3 linked regions of the Sus scrofa genome follow. The protein of the gene in region 3 interacts with the protein of the main gene of each other region in a pairwise test. Links are inferred from orthologs where the notes say so. Each region holds a gene or a part of one and is shown on either strand. Other genes may lie near its edges. The genes, in order: GFER, MIF and BNIPL.

Region 1 (7,714 bases), on a different chromosome or scaffold from region 3:
TCCACCCCTAGTCTCACTGCAGCACCAGGGTCCGAGATGGACACTACCTGCCATGTCTCCATCAGGGCGCAGGGTCACGCGACTGAGTCCCCCAGGTCCCCTAACTGGTAGGCAGGAGTCAGCAGGGCAGGCGAACACTGGTCTCAGCCTTTGCTGTCGCCACGTCAATGGACAAACCGACATGACCTCACTCAGCTTCCTGCCCCTGGTCCTGGCAGACCAGAGATGGGTTACTGGGGCACTCCCTGACTTCACCACTGTACCTGGCAGCCTCCCGAACCGGGAGGGAGAGTGCCTTCTGCCCTCAGGGCCACTCGTCCAGGCAGGCTGGTGTGGGTGGGAGCTGGGGCCTCTCTGCTCTTTCCCTGGGCTTGGATATCGTCATTCCAAGGTTCTCACTTAGCCCTCCCCACCCCCAGTTTTTGGCGACATATTTAGTTTTGGGCCAAGGAGAGGGGAGAAGCACCAGAGATGAGGAGATTGGCAGAGCAGTGCCTTGCTTCCCCTGAACACCTGCTGAGGGGTCTTTGCCACAGATGGCCCAGCCCCAGGTTAGACAGGGTCCCTTCCCTCGTGTTCCTTACAGGCCAGCCCAACAGGGGCCCAGGGGCCTCCCGTTTCTGCCTAGGGCACTGAGAAAAAACCTGCCTTTGGGGCGCATTTACAGCGCCAGAGCTTTCACTGTGCCCCGTGGAGGTAGGGAGTGTTTTACGCCCAATCTTCAGATTCTAGAGGCAGGCTGGTTGAATTCCTTGAGCTCAGAAAGTGCAAGAGCTGGAGATTCAAACCCAGGTCCCTACTGTGCCATTCGTGTGGTGTGGACAGTGGTATCCGGCCCATCCCCCGGGGAGCTCAGTCCAGAGCGGGAAGTGTCGCCCACTTTGCATCCAGCCCCATCCCCTCTCACCTGTGGGCAACAGCGCCCTCTGTCCCACGCCTCGTCCCTGTCCCTCTTTGCTTGATTGCTTACATCCGTGCCTCAAGATGCCACTTTGCTGTCTTAAAAACAAATTTACAGGAAGTTCCTGTGTGGTGCAGCAGGTTCAGGATCCAGCACTGCCACAGCTGCAGTGCAGTTTGGATCCCTGGCCCCGGGAACTTTCACATGCCATCCTGTCCCCATCCTCCTGGGGACACTTGCAATGCCACCCCATCCTTATATTCCTCCCATCCCATGGGTCCTTTCTTATCTCTTTCTGGTTCCCTTCTCCTGTTCGGATCTGTGTCCTTTGAGCCTTAGGGGTCCCAGGGCACGGTGCTGGGGCTCTTCTGCCTGCTCTCTGCTCACTCTCTTGGTCTACATGCTAAGAGCTTGAGCCAGAACCTTCCCCTGAACTAGGATCCCACTTGTCTCAACTGGATGGTCTGGAAAACAGTCCATAGCCAAGTTAGAGCTGTATTGGGAGGTTAAACTTCGGGGAAGCCAGAGGTAGGGGACAAGGGCAGTGAGGTGGGGGTGGGGGGCACTGATACAGACAGTGTGCTCCGGAGCTGACCACGGCTTCACCAGCTCCCAGCACGCAGGCGACCTGGGAAAGGCCCTGTGCCGGGGACGCCCTTCTAAAAAAAGAGCAGGAAAAAGAGCAGGAACCCCTCTGCTGGCTGCTCCTGGCCTCCTGTTTCTCTGTGTCAACCCTCTGGGGTGCAGGTGCCGAGGAAGCTGTGCCAAAGGTTGGCCCTTGCCCGGGGAGGAGCTGAGACGCCACGGGGGGAGGTGGCCAGAGCTTTATGGCCACAGGGATGGGACACACTATTGTTGGGCCATTCCAGCGGAGAGCTGACAACTGGCAGAGTAGGTGTGGCTGAGAGGATCCAGGACGGCCCAAAAGCTGGGTCCAGGTCACCCCCAAACCTGCTTTGCTCACAGCCTTCTGCACCTCACTGATACACTGGGCAACTCCATCCTCCAGTGACTGGGGCAGAGCTTCACTCTTGGCCGCCACATGGGTGCCTGTCCTCCCTGCTCTCCCCCACGCCTGCCTCATTCCAGCTCCACAGCCAGAGAGACCTTTCAAAAGTCACTTCTTGCCGTTCCTCTGCTCCACACCCTTCCGTGGGAGCTAGGTGTTAAAAGCACATCCTTTCTGGGGTCTTGAGGACCTGCCGCCATGTGACCTCGCTCCCCTCTCTGCTCCTCCCCCAGACCCAGCAAGGAGGCCTCCTTGGAGTTCCCGTCGTGGCGCAGTGGTTAACGAATCCAACTAGGAACCATGAGGTTGCAGGTTCGGTCCCTGCCCTTGCTCAGTGGGTTAACGATCCGGCATTGCCGTAAGCTGTGGTGTAGGTTGCAGACTCGGCTCAGATCCCACGTTGCTGTGGCTCTGGCATGGGCTGGAGGCTACAGCTCCGATTTGACCCCTAGCCTGGGAACCTCCATATGCCGCGGGAGCGGCCCAAGAAACAGCAAAAAAAGACAAAAAAAAAGACACACACACACAAAAAAAGGAGGCCTCCTTGCTGTTCGCGGAACAGCCTGGCCCAGTCTTGCGATGGCACAGCTCCCTCTTCCTCGGGAGTCAGAACTCAGATGGGAGGAGGCAGCAGACTACATGCAGCGAGGGCAGGCCCGTCCATCACCGCAAGCGCCAGCACAAAACACACCGAAGGCAGGTCTTCAGTCACTTCTCCAGCATTTTATTTTGGTCTCAAGCTCCACAGAAGCCTTCGACAGGCCTGGTGCAGCTGAGCAAGGCCACATGCGGCACGGCAGGTGTGCAGCAGAGCTCAGCCCCCAGGCCTCTCTCCTGAAGTACTGGCAGCGCACAGGCCCCGGGCTAAAGACACTGCAGCCATGCCAGCTGTCCCTAGCTACACGGTGGGGGACAGGGGCCTGGCCTGGCAAGACAGAGGAGCCCTGCCAGGCTGGTCACCTTCCTAAGTTGGCAGCAGGTGTCAGGTGAGCAGGAGGCCGAATCTGGAAAGGGAGGGACAGCCTAGGCTGCCCTGGCCTCCTTCAGCGCCCTCGGGCCTGGGTTGAGGGGGAGGCCGTCGGGGGCACCCCCACTTCTACTCTGAACCTGAGAGAGGGCTCCATGGGCAGGGTCTGGGGACCACCCAACTGAGACAAGACAGGCTCTGGCTCTGATGTACTTTTAATAATGAGCCCCACACGCTCTGGTCAGGCCGCGCACATGCTCTGGCTGGCTGGCATCTAGTCACAGGAGCCGTCCTTCCATCCGTCTCGCCAGCGCTCGTCCACCTGCGAGCAGTCAAACTCCGGCTTGCCCAGCTTGCGGTTCACCTCGTTGTGCAGGCGGCACAGCCACTGGGTGAAGTGTGCCCGGGTGCGTGTGTCTGGCTGGTTCCGGCATATCCTGTGTGTGGGAGCACGCGGAGGATGGGGGCAGGCAGTGCCCCCACTGTGCCCACCCCCCAGCTCCTTGCCTGCCCAATTCAGGGAGGAGAGCTGGCACCTTTGCCGGGGGGAGGCTACACCAGGAGTGCCCCTGCAGCAGCAAGACCTGCCAGACACCTGGGCCTGCTCAAACCCTCACCCGCGGAGCTCAGCAAACTCAAAGAAGCACCCTGGGCCAGACATTAAGGCACAGACCTCGACTTCATGGCCTCAAAACAATCAGGAAGCCTCACACCCTTGCGTCCTTGGCCCCAGGCAGTGTACAGAAGGGATGGAACCTGCACAAAGGCATAACTGAACACCAGATCTGCTTCTTAGCACCCACGGCCCTGCTGCCTCAGCTCAGTAAGAGACTTTGTTCTAACTGCCCAGGCTTCAAACAGCAAGGGCTGCCCTGCCCCTCAAATCCAGCCCAGCCTATGGGTGCCACACCACAGTTCTTGGGCTCCGCAATGGAGAAAAGGGGGCTCTCGGGAGCAAAAGCAGTGAGTTCCCAAGGTCTTGAAATTGGCAGTCCTGCTCCAGCAGGTAGCAAAGCGGCGCCCTCCACACCTGCCAGAGCCTCCAGCAGTGCTAAGCAAGGCATCTCAGGAGGGAAGTGCTCCCCAGAGTTCTGGGGCGGAAGAAGCCCCAGGCAGCTTGGCCCTCGAGGAGAAAGGAGATGATCCAAGATCCCTCATCTGCTGCTGGCCCCTGCTCTCGGCAACCCTCTCCCACCTCTGCCTTTATTTCTCTAGGCTTCCCTTTATGACATCAGCCAGGCCCAGGCTCCCGGCGGGACTGGCTGCGGTACCCAGGACTCACACAACTTACCTCCTCCTTATGTCTTCAGCACACTCCTCGCATGGGTAAAACTTGGAAAATAAATTTACCAACTGAGCCATATCTTGCTGCTGTTCTGGGGTGGGCAGGTCGGGGTAGTAAGCAGCCAGGGTGTGGAGTACAGCCCAGCTGTGGCGGCCGAGTTCCTCGCGATCTGGAGGACAATCTTCCCTAAACTTGCTGTCCCGCTGTGGAAGGAGGCCGACCAAGGGTTAGCTCCGTTCCCCCGCCGGAAACCTACAAAGCTCCATTTTTTCTGCCCTAGCCGGAGGCCTACTGTCTGTCCTAAGTCCTAAGGAGGCTGGTCCGGCCAACAAGTGGCTAAGGGCCGAAAGGCCCGGCCTCCCTTAAGGGCTAGGCTTTGGGACAGCCACCCCTCAACCCCGGGGAAGGGGGCAAAGTCTTAGGGCCTGGAGGAGTGCTCCGCCTGGGTCTTGGGAACTCTGCCCGGGGCGCTTGACAACATGGTGTGCGGGCCGGGGCTAGGAGTCGGCAGGGCTCGCGGGCCTCTGCGGGAAGGAGGCGCCTCCCCAACCCCACGCGACATCTGCACCTTCTGCTGCGTCCGCATCCACGACTTGAAGTCCACGCAGGCCCGGCAGGGCCGCCTCCGGGAGGCGTCCTCGGCGACCTGAGAATCCGAGGCCGGGGCTTGGGAGGGCATCCCGGCTGAAGCGGCGGCATCTCTCCGCCCGGCGCCCCGGCCGCGCGCGTCCGTCACCAGGTCATCCACCACCTCGGAGCGCGCGCCGCCGGGCAGGAAGGAGAAGAGGTTCCCGCCAAAGCGGCCCCGCTCGCCGGGGGCCGCCATGTTACCCGCGCAATGCCTGCCGGGCCAGCTCGGTCTCCAGATGGGCTTCCAAGTCGGTCTCCAGGCCAGGGCGCGCGCCGCCGCCAGGGCGCGGCCGCAGGAGCCGGGAGCCCGGGCCGCGGGCGCGGGCGCGGGCGCGGGCGCGGGCGCGGGGCCTGAGCTGGGGCCGGGGGCGGGGTCGGGGGCGGGGCCTGGGCCGGTGTCCGGCGTGGAGGCGGAGCCGGGGGCCGCGGCCCGCGACCCGGAAGAAGCAGAGCTGGAGTCGGCGGCCCGGGCCCGCGTGTGTGCGGGGTTGGAGATCCTAGTCCTGGCCGCAGCCCTGGGCCTCGTTCCGCGGCCCGAGCCCGACTTGCGTCCTCCGTGGCGGCGCTCCCGCTTCCTCCAGTAGAAGACCAGCGTGTTGTGGAAGCGGCGCGGCCGTGCCGTAGCCTCTGGCTGCGGCTGAGGCGACGTCCGTTTCGTGGCCCGCGATGCCCCCATCGCTCCGCTCTGACCGTCCCGCGTGCCCGCTGCTAGGCCCTATGCCCTCGGCTGGGGGCGTCCTGGGAGCTGGCGCTTGGTGCTGTGGCAACATGGGGCGGGGCCGTGAGCGCACAGAGGCGATGCTGCCGGGGCTGAGCCTGCGGATCCGCCCTGGCGACGGGTGCCATGGCAACGGGTGACTGGCAACCCGGGGTGAGGCGGTGCCGGCAAAGGAGGCGGTGCGTGTTTGGGCTGCGCGCACGGAGCGGACCCTCCCGCTCCCGAATCCTGTAGCCTGCCTGAAGCGGTTAAACCCACGTCGGGAGTGGCCTCAGGGATACCTGTGCTTCCAACTGTGCATTCATTCATTCCGCAAATATTTGTGTAGTGCCTCATCTGTTCAGAGCTGCTCTAGGCGCTGGGCGGTGCCGGGAGAAAGATTCGAAAGTTTCTGACCTCCCCAACCCATAATCCAGTGTGGTCAAGACGGAAACAACAAAAATCTAAAAGGTGTCACACTAATAAATGCTCGGGGGCATGAATGGGGCGAGGTAAATGCGGGAGGCCTCCTTGAGGAGGTGACGCTTAGGCGGAGGCCTGAAGAATGAGGAATCACTGAGAAGGGCAATCAAGGCCGAGGAGGATCTTTGCTTCTTGTGTGGGTGGGAAGGCCAGCAGGACAGGACCTGGGTAGGGTGGTGGCAGAAGAGATCCAGCGGTGGCCAGGGGCCCAGCAGGGACCTCATCAATGGCCATGGGCGCTGGCAATTTATTCCAAGGACCCTGGGAATGTGCTGGGACATTTGGGGCCTGGTACTCTGGTGTGATCTCAGTCGCCAAGCTGCCTCTGGGGAGTGGATGTCACAGGAGCAAGTGAGGAGTACAGGCTTTGGGGGAGGATGGGGCTGCTGCAGTTGTCCAGGTGAGACGTCAGGGTAGGGTTATAGAGAGAGAGGAGTGGAGGGCGTCTAGATTGCTGGCGGTGTGGAGCAGGGGCTGTCAGTTGGCATGGGGGGGGGCAGTGCTTAGCATCCTTTTAGGTTCCTGGTGTGAGCAAACTGCCCATCTCCAACTTCTCTCTCTTCCCAGGAACAGGTCTGTCCCACCCTGTACCCTATCAGGCTAGTGGCCCCCACTGAGACTGGCAAGAGTGTGACAGCTAGACTGAAGGCACTTTGCAAAAATAGGCCTCTGTTGGTGCTCCCGCTGTGGTGTGACAGGATGGGCAGCGTCTTGGGAGCCCTAGGACTTGGGGTCAATCTTTGGCCTGTCACAGTGGGTCAGAGATCCAGCATTGCCACAGCTGCGGCTTAGGTGGAGACTGCAGCTCATATGTGATCCATGACCTGGGAGCTCCATCTGCCACCAGGTGGCCACAAATGAAAAAAAAAAAAAAGAAAAAAAAAATTAGGTCTGTATCCACAGGTGTTCATTGTCTGTGCCAAGACCAGGGAAAGTTTGAGGGCTTTGGGGGGAGCTGCTGTTTGGACAGACTTACAAAGGCCTTTTGTCAAGGCCAGGGTGCCTCCCTGGAGGGACCTCTTGGAGGCTGGCCCCTCCCTCATAGGCATGGGGTAAGGTGAGTTCCAACACAGAGCTGGCAGCTCCCACGGTGGGAAGAACTGCTGTATGCCAGGATTGGATGGCACTCCGAAAATCTCCCCTCCAGGGAAGCGGGGCACCTGGGCACACCCTGTCTGGGGATTCTGACCCATTGGGTTAAGGATTCGGCATTTCTCTGCAGCTGCTCTGGTGGCTTCTGTGGCGAAGGGTTTGACCCCTGGCCCAGGAACTTTCACATGCTATGGATGTGGCCAAACGGAAACAGAAAACAAAAAACAAACCAGCAGAGTCCTAGTCACCACCTCTCCCGTCCCCCAAGTGCTGGTGCCTGGAGGTGGATGCTCTACATCCCGCCCCAGGTCCGTCCACCGCAGGGGAACTGATGCTCTGAGCCTGTGAAGTCTGTCTTTCCCCAACACGTACAGACAAAACCCCTGACAGTTAATAGCCATTTAACATAAATTCCTCCTCTGTGACTTGGGGACGTTAAGAGACCTTTCCTCCTGGACCTCCCATCATGGCTCAGTGGTTAACGAAGCCGACTACTGTCCATGAGGACATGGATTCATTCCCTGCCTCACTCAATGGATTACGGATCCCGTGTTGCTGTGAGCTGTGGTGTAGGTCGCAGACATGCCTCAGTTCCCGCTGCTGTGGCGGTGGTGCAGGCTGGCAGCTACAGCTGCTATTTGACCTCTAGC
Region 2 (6,054 bases), on a different chromosome or scaffold from region 3:
CTCACGGCCCAAGTCAAGGTGTCTCAAGGTCAACTAGAGAGGAACCCACTTCCGAGTTCATTCAGGCTGTTAGCAGAATTCAGTTCCCTGCGGCTTCAGGACTGAGGCCCCCTCATCTTCAAAGCCAGTAACAGCACACTGAGTCCCTCTGCTTTAAGTCTGACTCCGCTTCTGCCTTGTCTTTGACTCGAGCTGGAGAAAATTCTCTGCTTTTAAGGGCTCCTGTGATTACATCGGAACCACCCAGATAATCCATGATAACCTCCCTATTTTAGGGTCTGTAACCCTAATTACATCTGCAAAGTGCCTTTTGCCATGTAACGTAATGCATTCACAGGTTTGGGGGACTAGGGCATGGACAGCCTTGGAGGCCCTCTGCCTGCTACCGAGCAACAGGGCAGAAGGTAGGCACGCAGCCAGGCCCAAAAGAAATAGTCCCCCAGCTCAGGGAGCCTAGAAAGGAAGCAGTAACTCACACACAGAAATATGGTGATAGCCTGGAAGAAGAGAACAGGTGCTGGGCTCCTGACTGGGCCTGACCCAGCCAGGAGCTTTGGGTGCTGAAGCAGATCAGGGAAAGTGCAGGAGGGGACCAGGTCACCCAGGGCACTGTGATGGTACTGGGGACCATCACCAGTAATTAAACCACTTGGGTCCTCACAACATCCCCCTGTAAAATGGACACTACTGTCATCCCCAAGTTACAGGCAGGAAAACTGAGGCTCAGAGAGGTTAGCCAAGTGTCCAAGCTAGTGACAAGTGGGACTGGGAATCTAGTCCCTCCTCAGAGGCCCTCCCTGAAAGACAGCAGTGACTACTCCTGGGAAGGGAGGGTACACAAAGGCTGTCCTGATGGGGAAGGCTCCCCTCTGTCACAGTAACAACCTGAAAACCATAGCGGCTCACCCACAGGGCATTGCAGGTGTTTGTTGGAGAGGCTCTGTGTCACCCGCTGCCACATCAGAGAACATGGAACTGGGCACTAGCTTTTGGATCTTCTGCCTGGAATCATTTGCGTCACTTCTGGTCACTGGACAAAGCAAGTCACATGGCCAGATCTACCTGGGTAGGCAGGGGGAACAGACTCCTCCTCCAGGAGAGGCCAGGCCAAGAGTGATGCCAGCTAACTTAGACTAAGGTGGGATCAGGGGTGGGGGGAGAGGCGAGGATAAAGGCATAGTGGAGGGAGGCACAGTTCACTGGGAGGAGATCAGAGGTGGGAGAAAAGTCATGCACTTGGATGTGGACACCGGGAGCAGGCCATGCTGAGTTGGCTGCTGGAGCTCAGAGGAGCATCCTGGGCTGGAGACATCAGTGCATCAGTGGTAACAGAACCCTGAGCACAGAAAGACGGCTGGGTGTGGGAGTGGGGAGGAAAGTGATCTGGGCCTACCTGGAAAGCCCCACATTTTACAGAGTTATTGGCACAGCTGGGCCATGAGACCTTCCCTCTGGAGGCCAGCTGGTCCCACAAGCCTGGTGGCCTTGATCCATCATATGGCCATTGTCAAGGCCAGCAACATGCTCTGCCACCTTAACCAGACCACAACTGTCAGAGACCAAGGACAGGGCTTTCCTGGAGAGCTCTGAGACTGGCCAAACCTGCATGCCCCTTGAGTGCCAGTCCCCAGCCCAGCCCCCTGACCAGGGGTCTCCTCAGAGCAGGGGTCAGGTGGCCCTTCTGTCCAGTAATGGCAGGGCCTGCAGGCTCATCCCTGGCCCTGACCTCTTCCTGCCCCGTCATGGCTAACTTCATTCACCCAGTATTTAGTCCATGTCTTTCATATGCTTGGCACCTACTAGCTACCCGTTGAGCTGACCACTAGTGGAAGAAACAGAAAATTCACTCAGGCTGTAAGAGGGCGTCCCCAGAGGACACATCAGAGGAATTGCCCAGGGGACTCAAGTTTTGGGGTGGGCTTTGAGCTCTGTCAGACATCCCCTCCTACTCGCTGCCCCTACCCGGGGCACCACCCAGCATCCCCACCCACCTTGAGGAGCAGGGGTATAGGGAAGGCATCTGGATGGTGACTCATTTGTGGTAGCCCCCTCCCACCTGCATCAGTGACTGCGCCTCACCCCTACACATGAACACCAGCACGCCCACCCGTCCACTCAGGACAGTGGCCCCAGAGACTCAGGACACACAAGGGCTCAGTGAGAATGAGCTGGACTTCATCTACTTGTCCAGCTGTGAGCTCCTGGAGGGCCAGAAGCCACCTGCCCCCCTAACCGCAGTATCCCCGCTCCTGGCACACAGATGAGTAGATATCTGTGACTAAATAAAAGGGCTGATGAACGAGGGAAAGGCACACTTCTGGCCACGAGGTGGTGAACGGCTTTGGAGGGGGCACCCAGCCAGGGGTAGGCGGAGTAGGGTCTCAAAGTCCCGCCGTGAGGGCGGGGCCTCTGCCGGCGGTGACGTCACCAGTCGCGAAGGCCTCGCGGCCTCGGGGGCGGGATCTCCGCCGGCGGTGACGTCACGGGGCGGAACCGCAGTCGCAGTGGGCGGGGCGCCGGGCGGCGGTCACGTATCTCAGGTTCCCCTGCTTCTTGACCGCGCAGTTAGGTTCCTGTGCTCCGGGTCCCCACTGTTCCTGGCCATCATGCCGATGTTCGTGGTAAACACCAACGTTCCCCGCGCCTCTGTGCCGGACGGGTTCCTCTCCGAGCTGACTCAGCAGTTGGTGCAGGCCATGGGCAAGCCGGCGCAGGTCTGCCACGAGGGCCGGGCGAGGCGGTTCCGGGCTGAGGCTGGGGTTGGGGGAGGGGGGGCGGCGATTCCGGAATGGGGCTCCGGGCGGGGAAGGGACGCGGGGGCGGGGGGCGTCTGGGCCGGCGAGGTCACCCGGGCCGACTGACCGCGTCCCCTCCCCCGCAGTACATCGCGGTGCACGTCGTCCCGGACCAGCTCATGGCCTTCGGAGGGTCCAGCGAGCCGTGCGCCCTTTGCAGTCTGCATAGCATCGGCAAGATCGGCGGCGCGCAGAACCGTTCCTACAGCAAGCTGCTGTGCGGCCTGCTGGCCGAACGCTTGCGCATCAGCCCGGACAGGTGCGTGGGCGCCGAGGGCCGGGGAGCACGCGGCCACGGCGGCCGCCCAGTTGCCCGCTCAGCCTCGCTTCCTTCTCCGCAGGATCTACATCAACTACTACGACATGAACGCGGCCAATGTGGGCTGGAACGGCTCCACCTTCGCCTGAGGGCCGCACCCCAAGACTCCTTTGCTCTCGGCCTGGCGCCGCCGGCTCTGTTTTCTGCCTGCCTCGCCCCTAGCGACCCCAGCTCCCGGAAGAGAGAAATAAACGGTGTGGAGATGGCTGCCTCCGGCTTCCTTGACTAGCGGAGGAATTGGTGAAGGGCCGGGTCAGTGACAGGGGTCCGAGGCCGGGAGGGGCGCCCCCAGAATGAGCTGTGGGGCGCCTTCCCCTACCCTTTGCCAGCAGAAGGCCCCACTGAGGTTGGCATCCTTCCAGAGGCCACAACCCAGGAATCAAATTCGAATCGGGAATCCATAGTCTGTCCCCCACCCTCTCTCCTGCCGAGGCACCACGTGGGCTAGGGTTGGCGGGCAAAGGGGGAGTAATCCAAATCCGGGTGAGGGCGCCCGCTCCACCTCAGGAGTCATTCTCTGCCAAGCTGGTGCTTCAGTGTCTTGACTTAGGAAATCCCATTGTTTTGGAACTTTAGGATGGTTTTCAAGTGTGGGACAGAGGCTCCAGGAGGTGGATTCTGGTTATGCTGCCCTGTCCACCCCAGTTCCAGGCCTGGGTAGGGCTCCCTTCAGGCACCCAGGCCCTTAGGAATAGCAGTTCCCTGAGGGCATACTCCTATAGTTTGGGTGCCATTCATGTTTTCTAGTGCGCAGCAAGTCCGGAAAGCCTGCAGGTGGCTAGTTAACCCCACTAGGACGCTGAGGATTTGATCAAGAACAAAATCAGTATCAAGGTGCAATAGGACAGTTTCCTGGCTTAGGATCCTTTCTCCAAGTGCAGGGCCTTGCTCCCTTGTGGGGTGGTGACAAGGTACTGGGCAGTCCTCCAGCCAGGAGGTGCTGCTTGCCCAGGCCAGTCACCTTTAGGCTGAATGCCTCACTGCCCCACAGCAGGAGATCCTCCATGGACCTGCGCAGCAACTCCAAGTTGAGGCCCAGCCCTGAGCACTGGGGACTTAACGTGCCTGGAGTTGGCGTCCCTTGATCAGAGCCGGCACCTGTGTCTTGGCTAAAGTGAAGAGCCAGCTCTGCCCTTCCTGCACTGCCCACCCTGTGGGAGAAGCCCAGTTCATTGCAGCTGCCTGCAGAGAGAGGCTCTTCCAGCCCCATGAACCCCGTTCCTGGGGGCCTAACCTCTGGACCCCTGGCCCTGCACCTGAGACCCCTTGTTCTGCCTCAGCCCCTGAGATAGACAAGAACATCCTAGATAGAGGTGGTTTTTTAAATTCCACAGAATTGAAGTGAACCGTTTTTGGAAGGTGAAGGACTCTGGGGAAGAGGGTAACCGCCTGAGCCCAGCCCCTGGAGCGCTTTCCTTCTGATGCTGGGAGTGAGGAACAGGCCTGCCTCTGAGCCATAGGCAGTAATAAGGCCCACCTTGTTCCTGTACATGTGCTGGAGCCTGGGGTGGCCACAGGCTCCTTCCTTGGGCCCACTGCCAGTCACCTAGCCTGTGTGGCACACTGTGGCATCAGTGTGAACTCCTGTTACGCAGGGGCAGGAAGCTTCAGGAGCCCAGCCCAGGCTTGTAGCAGAGGACAGATCACACCTACCCTTGGATTATGGCACCTTCTGAACAGCCCAGGCCCCAGGCTGCTTAGCCCAGTCTGTCAGCTCCATCCGCTGACATCTACCCCAACCCCTCCGTCTCTGGGGTGGTCCAGCAGTCTGGCTCCGGGGGTACTCTCAGCCCCCAGTCAGCTCCCTGGGCAGTGAGGATTTACTTCTAGAACAGTGGGGACAGTTGTGACCTTAGAAGAATCAGCTCCAGGGAGTCTGGAGGATGTGGCCCGTCTTTGGGGTGCTCCTATTCCACGAAGGTCTTCTTCCAACTCTCCTCAGTCTCATTCTGTCCTCAGTGAGGGGACTGGAGCCTCAGGTCCATCTCTGTGCTGGGGGAGGGGGTAGCATAGCCCAAGCTGGCCCTATTCAGCCTGGCTTGCAGGCTAGGCCTCCCTCTTGGGTGTGAGCACCTGCTACGTAACAGGCTCCTGCCTGGGCCCTGGCCTTTGTCACATCCCCTTGGCTCCCACATTCCACCCCCCCCCCCCCAGTTCCCAGCATAGAGCCTCTTCCCCTGGCTCCAGGCTGCACGCTGTCCCACTTTTACTTAGCCTCTTGGGGCCTATACTGTACGTGGTCATGAGAGCAGAGATGAGGGTCTCCATGAGTGTCTCATCCAACTCTCATTTCACAGGTGAGGACATTGTCCTGGTTCCCTGGATGTGCCCATGCTGTGCCAGCCACCTTCCAGGGTCTGACTTCACATTTCCCCTCCCTGTTGCCCCCAGCTAGGGCATTCACTTGTGTCCTCATAGGAGCAGGAGGTGGGCAAGGCAGGCTGGGCATCTGCCGTGTTGGGGAGGATGGAAGGGCTTGGGAGAGTGAAGCATGGCTCGCTGCTTCTGCAAATTGGGCAGTTCCAGAGTCTCTGTGGCCAGCTGGGGCATCGGAAAAGCAGTGGCTCCTTGGAATCCAAGGGAAAGGGGGGCATCTGTGAGTCAGCCCCCCCCCCATTCTTGGCCCTGCAAGCCCAGGAGGGCAGTTATTGCACCCCACTCTCCAGCCATATACTGTCCCCCATCCCAGTCACCTCCCAGCCAGCTCCATTTCCTCCAAAGCATGGGCTCCACTGCCCGCCAAGCTGCCAGTCCCTCTTCAAACTCCAGTGGCTGCCCCAAGACCCATAGAGGTGCAGTCAATCCTTCAAGACAGCTGTAGAAACTCATTTTTAAAAAGCATCTCCAACGGAGGTGTGGGTTGGAGAGGGTAGGGGCCCAGACCACCACCTGCTCTCCACTCGCTCCAGTGGCACCATATTATTTGGCAGCCAAGACTGG
Region 3 (7,626 bases):
TAAGAGGTTCTGAGTTGGTGAACATGTGGAGGTATTGGGAGGGTGATGCACCCCCAGAGAGGAGCTCCACACCCCTCTCCACATAACTTGTCCATTGTGTTGCTTCCTTCTGGCTGTTCCTGAGCTGTATCCTCTTATAATAAACCTATAATCTAGCAAGTAAACGGCTGTCTTAAGTTTTATGAGCTGTTGTAGCAAATTATCAAGCCTGAAGAGGGGGTAGTGGGAACCTCTGATTTACAGCCTGTCAGTTAGAAGCACAGGTGACAACCCAGACCTGTGACTAGTGTCTGAAGTCTGGGGGCAGTCTTGTGGTTGAGCCCTTAACCCGCGGTGTCTGTATGAACTCCAGTCAAGTGTCATCACTGAATTGTAGGCCATCCAGTTAGGGGAATTGGAGAACTGGTTGGTGTGGGAAAACCTCTACATTTGGTGTTGAAAGGGTAGTGAGTAGAGAAGAAACAAAATTTTCCTTAACATCTAAATAGTCATGCTTTATACTCTGAATCCCTAACATGCTGTGCTATTGTCCACGTTGCTTCTTCCACCTAGAATGCCTCTCCAGGTACCTGATAAGCTCAGAATTGCCTCCTCTGTAATGTCTTTCCTTTTTCTTTCCTTCTTTTTTTTTTTTTTTTTTGCTTTTTAGGGCTGCACTCACGGTATATGGAGGTTCCCAGGCTAGGGGTCCAATCAGAGCTGTAGCTGCTGGCCTATAGCACAGCCATAGCAACGCAGGATCCGAGCTGCGTCTGGGACCCACACCACAGCTCATGGCAACGCCAGATCCTTAACCCACTGAGCGAGGTCAGGGATTGGACCCACAACCTCATGGTCCCTAGTTGGATTTGTTTCCACTGTGCCACGACGGGAACTCCTGTAAAGTGTTTCCTAACATCTCAGGCCCAGCTGACCTTTGCCTTTTCCCTACTTACTCTGTACCCTATACACGTGTTGGTCATAACATTTAACTGCACTCATCTGTATATATGTTTATCTCATACTAAACAGAGAGCTCCCTGAGGGTAAGGATTATCTTATTTTATTTATTTATTTATTTTGGCTGTACCTGCGGACCAGGGACTGAATCCGACCTGCAACTGCAACTTACACCACAGCTGTGGCAACACTGGATCCTTACACTGCTATGCCACAGCAGGAATCTTCTTATAACACAGTTCTAGCTCAGTGACAGCATATAACTGTTATTTAGTAAGTTTTCCTTAATAAACAAAGCACCCTCTTCTTCCCCCTGCCCCCGTCCCCACTACTCCTCTCAGATTTGATCTATAGGCTCTACCTTTCCATTCTGAGGAGCTTTTGCTGATCTAACTTCTTGATTCCCACTATTAGTTCTAACTTCAGTCCCATTAAATCCTCTTGAGCTTCTTCAACTCTGGCCTCTACTTCTACCAGCTCAGTCCTCAGCTGTCCTTCCCACCTTCCCATTCAAATTCGTGTCCGCTGTCCAGCTGCTCCGAGTCTGAAGGTGTCTCCAATTCGTCTACCTCCAGGTCAGAACTGCCATCAGGAGAGGAAGGTACAGAGTGGGTGGAAGAAGCTCCATTATCTCCAGGCCCTTCTGTCAGATTCAGCTGCAACTCTGGGGCAGTCAGACGCTTACGCATGGGGCGCTGGCCACACAGGGCTAAGGTGCTGGGGGTACCTGGGGCTGGAGAAGGGGGAAAAAAGAAGAGAAAGGGGTGTGTGTGTGTGTGTGTGTGTGTGTATGTGTGTATGTGTATGCGGAGGTTAGAATTTCTGTTTGTGTGATAATAGGTGGTGAATTCTAAAGAAGGACTAACACAGGGGCCATTTAGGAAAATGGAAGTGGAACGGCAAAGGGACAGGGTAGCCCAACATGTCCTGGAACTAACCAAGAACTTGAGGCCTGGGTTCTAGTTCGCCTACCCGTCTGTGAGTCTCCTTTAGGGTTCTCAGGATCTTCAGAAGGGTCAGCCTCTTCAGGAAGCAATCTAGGGGGAAAAAGGTGAAAAGGGGGCAGCAGTAATGGCTAAAGGCATTAAGCCATCAATGTATCAATTCTCTCTCCACTATGATTGTATCACCTCTTCCTTTTCCCCACCTTCTGTCAAGTGCCAATTTACCATCCCCGACCTCCGCCCATGACCAGCCCTCCCTTTTCCCAGCCTCTCTCCCTCATACTTCCTCACCTAGGGAATTCTTCATCCTGCCATTCTTCCTGCAGCTCCAGCCCCCCAAGTCTCAAGGATGCTTCTGGCACCGCTGTTTCTGCATTTTCCCTGACCCTGAGATGCCCCGGAAAAAAAAAAAAAAAAAGATTATCATGAGACAAATTAGGCAGTGTTTTGAGGGAACTGGATAGTAGGTGAGAACACAGGAATGCAGAACAGTAATGAAGGTACAGAGCAGAGGGCACGCCTTCAAAAGAATTCAGACTCTTGTCTCCTAGATGTTTCTATCACTTTCACCACTTGTTGAAAGAAATCACGCCTAGGAGTTCCCATGGTGGCACAATAGGAATGGCAGCATCTCTGCAGCGCCAGAATGTGGATTTGATCCTTGGCCTTGCTCAGCAGGTTAAAGGATCCGGCATTGCTGCAGAAGTGGAGTAGGTCATAACTGCGGCTCGGATTTGATCCTATATCTGCCTGGCGGCAAAGAAAGAAAAAAAAAACAAGCAAGCAAGCAATCACCCCTGCTGTTGGGTTTAGAAGCAGAGGAGGGATGGAAGGTAAAGCTAATTATTTTTACCTGTGTGGCAGTTGCTCCACCCACACAGTAGGGGCGAGAGGTATTTCACATTACAATTGGCTGGAACCAGAAAGACCTGCCCAGCTGTCACTCGGCAAAGTTAGGGAAGATGGCACCTAGTCAGGCCTGCCTTTCCTTCAGCACACTGGGGAGTGGTTAGGGGACACCATGGCACAGATGGAGGGAGGGGAAGAAGGGAAGGAGCAAGAGAGATCAGCTGGCTAGGAGAACCTACACTTCTAATTTTGTTCCAGGTCAGCTTTCCCAATGGCCATTCGGGAGAGTGGGTATAAGAAAGAGTAAATTTATCACACGCAAAATATAGAAACTTTCTTTAAAAAGGGGGGGGGCAGTTCTCGTATAGCTCAGTGGGTTAAGTATCTGGCCTTGTCACTGGCAGTAGCTCAGGTTGCTGCCATGGCATAGGTATAATCCTTGACCCAGGAACTTCCACATGATGCCAAAAACAAAACAAAATAATATCCTGGATTCCAATTATCCTGGAAGCCCCTGTTCCCTAATTCCCATAACAAATGGATCTTTCCTACCTAAAGCCACCCCCACCCCTTCTCTGCAAATTCTTTTACAGTTTTGCCTCCTCTAAGAACTTGAGATTTGACTTGGTAAGAGCTGGATGGTGGGAAAGTCCCTCAAAATTAGTCACTCCTCGTTTTCAGTCAAGTTAGCCAAGAACTTACCCAAGATCCAATGTCTTTTCTCCTGCCTCTTGTAGAGTTCCCATCTTCACAAGACTTCCTGTCTTCTTTAAACGCTTGGCGTGGTTGAGGAGCTGGATGTCCCAGCTCCCCCAAACTTCTGTACCCTTCTCTGTCTCAGCTATTGTTGCTCTTGCCTCCGAGGAGGGAGGGGTTGAAGGGAGGTAACCTCACTTTCAAACAGGTTTTGCCACCTCCCTTCCCAAGGAGCAGGTTTGCCCCAAAGAAAAACCATGCCTATGTGGGGGCGGGTTTTGGGGAGGAGAGTACATTTTCTAAAGTGGCTAGTCTTGGGTGAGTCTAGGGAGGCAGTTTTCCACACCCTTTAAAACCATCTGGAAGCTGCTTAAAAAAAAGAGGGAACAGTAGAAATCATCTCGGTTTTTAAGACCACTCTGGGGGGAGTTCCCGTCATGGCGCAGTGGTTAACGAATCCGACTAGGAACCATGAGTTTGCGGGTTCAGTCCCTGCCCTTGCTCAGTGGGTTAACGATCCGGCGTTGCTGTGAGCTGTGGTGTAGGCTGCAGACGTGGCTCGGATCCCCTGTTGCTGTGGCTCTGGCGTAGGCCGGTGGCTATAGCTCCGATTCAACCCCTGGCCTGGGAACCTCCATATGCCGCAGGAGCGGCCCAAGAAATAGCAACAACAACAACAACAACAAAAAAAAAGACAAAAGACAAAAATAAATGAACAAACAAACAAACAAAAAAGACCACTCTGGGCCTACTTTTTGAGCATAAGCAAAACCAAGGACACAGAAGTGCATTATAAGGAGGGTTCTGGAAGAAGAAGCAAATTAAAGGAAAGGCTGGGAGTTCCCTTGTGGCACAGCAGGTTAAGGATCCAGTGTTATCACTGTTACAGCTTAGGTCACTGCTGTGGCACTGGTTCAGTCGCTGGCCCTGGAACTTCCACATGATTTGGGTGTGGCCAAAGGAAAAAAAAAAAAAAAAAAAAAAGGTAAAGGCTGAGGATGAGGGGAGATGTTATTTCCAAAAAGACACAATCGAAGGTGAATAGTAAGTACAGCAGAAAAATGGGAAATGAATCCTGAGGAGGTTAAAACAATTATCAGAGGTGAAGGCCTGATTATAGTTGTAAAAAGAGACAAGACCCCCAAACAGGAAAAAAGTATTTAATACTTTAACAAAATGCAAAATAAAGTACCCAAGTTACAAAACATAAATTCCTTTGGTTCAGTAATCACACCACTATTTTACTTTCCAACAGCTACAAATATCATCTCCTCAAAGGAAGTTATACTGTTCCCCTCATATGAAGACATCATGCCCAAACCATCACGTACCCCACTAATCAGCGAAACTGGTAACAACTTACAGGGAAAAGAGCTGTCGGGTAGGAAAAGGGGGAACAGGGTGGTCTGAAGAAAAAAGGGAGACTACACATGCAGAACAAGTCAGTGGGAGAGAGCTCTTTGCTGGGTCACTATACCTGTACATGCTACATAAGGCTGAGTACTTGGTACGATCACATATAAAGAGACAATCCAGTGACCCTGAGCATTCCCAGGGAAAACCGAAGTAAACAACAAACCAAAAAAACCTCCAGAGAAGCAGAGCTGAGAAAGGATGGTGGCAAGAGGCAGATCACAGAAACCAGCGAGCATCTAGTCCTGATCCCCAGTTTTGCAGATGGGGACGTGAGACCTAGAGGAGTGAGTGTCCTGACAAGAGACACAGTTTATAGTACTTGGTATGAAACCCCATGTTTCCTTTTACGATGAACGAGAGGTTAGACGGATACATCGTTGACAGAGCTGGGCTCCCACTGGAGTTCTCCTGTCCTCTGGGAAGTCCTGTCAGACCTTAAAGCCCTCCCAGATGTCTCCTGAGCTCCAAGAAGCAGGGATCTCCTGTGTCTCTTCGGGATGCCTGTGGCTCTAGGTCAGAGGAGCTCAGAGAAACTGAGAGCTGGGCCACCTCATCAGGACAGAAGATAATGGCCTTTAACCTGCTCCCAGACAATTCCAAAAGAGTCACAATAAGCTCAGAACAGCAATTTGGCCGTCTGGGAAACAGACACCATCCCCTAATTGGGGGGAGAAGGAGGAGTCATGGAGGTGGAAACCAGCTGAAGGCTGAAAACTGGAATAAGCTTAAAGTAGGTATTGTATTCAATAAATATTTGAACTAACAAGAGAAAAAATGGATATACGGAGACAATGAATGTTTGGTTCTATGAGAAATACTGGTTCCATTAAAGAGCCTGACTGAGGGCACTTTTGGAGTATACATTCTTTTGTGCAACTCTGCTGGAAATATGTATGTTATTTCATTATGACCCTAGCAAATGAAATAGAAGAGAGTCAGTGCAGATTTAAAGAGTTAATTTAGTAATAAAATCTGTTTGATTGGTAGAGATTGTGGGGAAAAGGTAGAAAGCCAGCTCAGCTTTCCTTCACTTCTTTCTCCTCCTAGGTTTAAAAGAACAGTATACCAGATCCTAGAACAATGAAGACAGAACTGCTGAAACATCTCAGAACATGCATTCGGGGTGATTCAAGCAACGTCTCTCACTTTCCCCTCCCCTCCCAACAGTCATTTCTTGGAAAGGGAGGCAGTGGTAGATTCTGACAGCGAGATCTGACTACATTTCTCAAAGATGACCTCGGCTGAGAACTTGGGCAGCCCCTGATCCAGAGGGCACTCGTCCACCAGGCTGTTCATGGGCGTTGGGGGCAGTGGAGGCTCCTCCTCATCTTGACTCAGTCCAGAAATCAGGGAGTTACCTGCCCTGTCCAACTCCTTGTCCACCTGCTCCCTAGACACACCCGCTGTTTCAGGCTGTCCTGAAGGGCTCTTCATGGAGTCAAAATATGCTGACAGGGCTTCCTGGAGCAGAGGTAGAAGTTTCTTTCGAGAGACCTGGGTGTTGCCTTGAAGATAGGCTTGGAGGTTAGGGTGGGTGCTTGGAACAGGGACCAGCTTCAGGGATGGAGAATGGGAGCTTTCCAGGACTCCACAGATCTAAAGACAAGACAGGGAGATGGTATATAAGAGGGTGAAGCAAAGAGCTGAGGCGTCTAAGTAACAGGCTTCTCTAATGAGGAGAAAAAGCGTTTTTTTTTTTTTTTTTTTTTTGTCTTTTTGTCGTTGTTGTTGTTGCTATTTCTTGGGCCGCTCCCGAGGCATATGGAGGTTCCCAGGCTAGGGGTCCAATCGGAGCTGTAGCCACCGGCCTACGCCAGAGCCACAGCAACGCTGGATCTGAGCCGCGTCTGCAACCTACACCACAGCTCATGGCAACGCCAGATCGTTAACCCACTGAGCAAGGGCAGGGACCGAACCCGCAACCTCATGGTTCCTAGTCGGATTCGTTAACCACTGCGCCACGATGGGAACTCCGAAAAAGCGTTTTTTAAATTAGGTCATCCAGAGTGGTTTTGTCGCTTACAATAAAAGGCACATCAGTTAATATACATAGTATTTTAGAAACAGAAGAAATGTTCGAGATCATATATTTCATTTTATTAATAAGTAACCAAAGCCCAAAGGAATTAAGTGTTCTGAACAAAATAATGTAGATGATGGTAGAGTCTGAAACAGAACCTGGACTCTTGACTCCTAACCTAGTGTTGTTTCCAAGGGTAATCCTGTGCTCAGAAACTTGAACTCTGGAGTGCCTGTTGTGGTTCAATGATTAAGAACCCGAATCGTATCCACAAAGACGCAGGTTCAATCCCTGCCTCACCCAGTGGGTTAAGGATCTGGCGTTGCCGTGATCGCAGATGTGGTTCAGATCTTGCATTGCTGTGGCTATGGTGTAGGTCAGCGGCTTCAGCTCCAATTTGACTCCTATCCTGGGAACTTCCACATGCCACAGGTATGGTGGTAAAAAAACAAACAAACAAAAAACCCCCCCAAATCTTGAACTCTATCCTTAGCTGAGCTGGGACAAGCATCTATATACTGAGGTCAGGGGAAGGAGAGAAGCCGAAAGAATGAGCAGATCAAAGTGGGAATGGGAAGTTGCTAGGCATTGTCTGGCCATTTTCAAATATTATCTGGTTTGGGGAGTTCCCTGGTGGCCTAACAGTTAAGGATTCAGCATTGCCACTGCTATGACTCAGGTCCGAATTCTGGCCCAGGAACTTCCACATGCCATGGGGGAAGCAAGAAAAAAAAATTATCTTCTGTAACCCTCAAAACTACC

The links.
Region 1: the proteins of BNIPL (region 3) and GFER interact in a two-hybrid assay, tested with the Homo sapiens proteins (2 studies listed by BioGRID and IntAct). The link is inferred for Sus scrofa from reciprocal best matches to the Homo sapiens genes BNIPL and GFER.
Region 2: the proteins of BNIPL (region 3) and MIF interact in a two-hybrid assay, tested with the Homo sapiens proteins (2 studies listed by BioGRID and IntAct). The link is inferred for Sus scrofa from reciprocal best matches to the Homo sapiens genes BNIPL and MIF.

Annotation. Positions count from the first base shown.
Region 1 is NC_010445.4:39,979,325-39,987,038, forward strand, and holds GFER (FAD-linked sulfhydryl oxidase ALR), read right to left. Parts: upstream 5,128-7,714; 5' UTR 4,989-5,127; coding exon 4,731-4,988; intron 4,366-4,730; coding exon 4,169-4,365; intron 3,315-4,168; coding exon 3,152-3,314; 3' UTR 2,614-3,151; downstream 1-2,613.
Region 2 is NC_010456.5:49,837,570-49,843,623, reverse strand, and holds MIF (macrophage migration inhibitory factor), read left to right. Parts: upstream 1-2,560; 5' UTR 2,561-2,606; coding exon 2,607-2,714; intron 2,715-2,881; coding exon 2,882-3,054; intron 3,055-3,136; coding exon 3,137-3,203; 3' UTR 3,204-3,321; downstream 3,322-6,054.
Region 3 is NC_010446.5:98,189,566-98,197,191, forward strand, and holds the start of BNIPL (bcl-2/adenovirus E1B 19 kDa-interacting protein 2-like protein), read right to left. Parts: upstream 3,958-7,626; 5' UTR 3,479-3,957; coding exon 3,435-3,478; intron 2,271-3,434; coding exon 2,175-2,270; intron 1,977-2,174; coding exon 1,912-1,976; intron 1,673-1,911; coding exon 1,442-1,672; intron 1-1,441. Other genes in the region: PRUNE1 (protein prune homolog), read right to left, coding at 6,012-6,440. UniProt on the Homo sapiens protein: May be a bridge molecule between BCL2 and ARHGAP1/CDC42 in promoting cell death.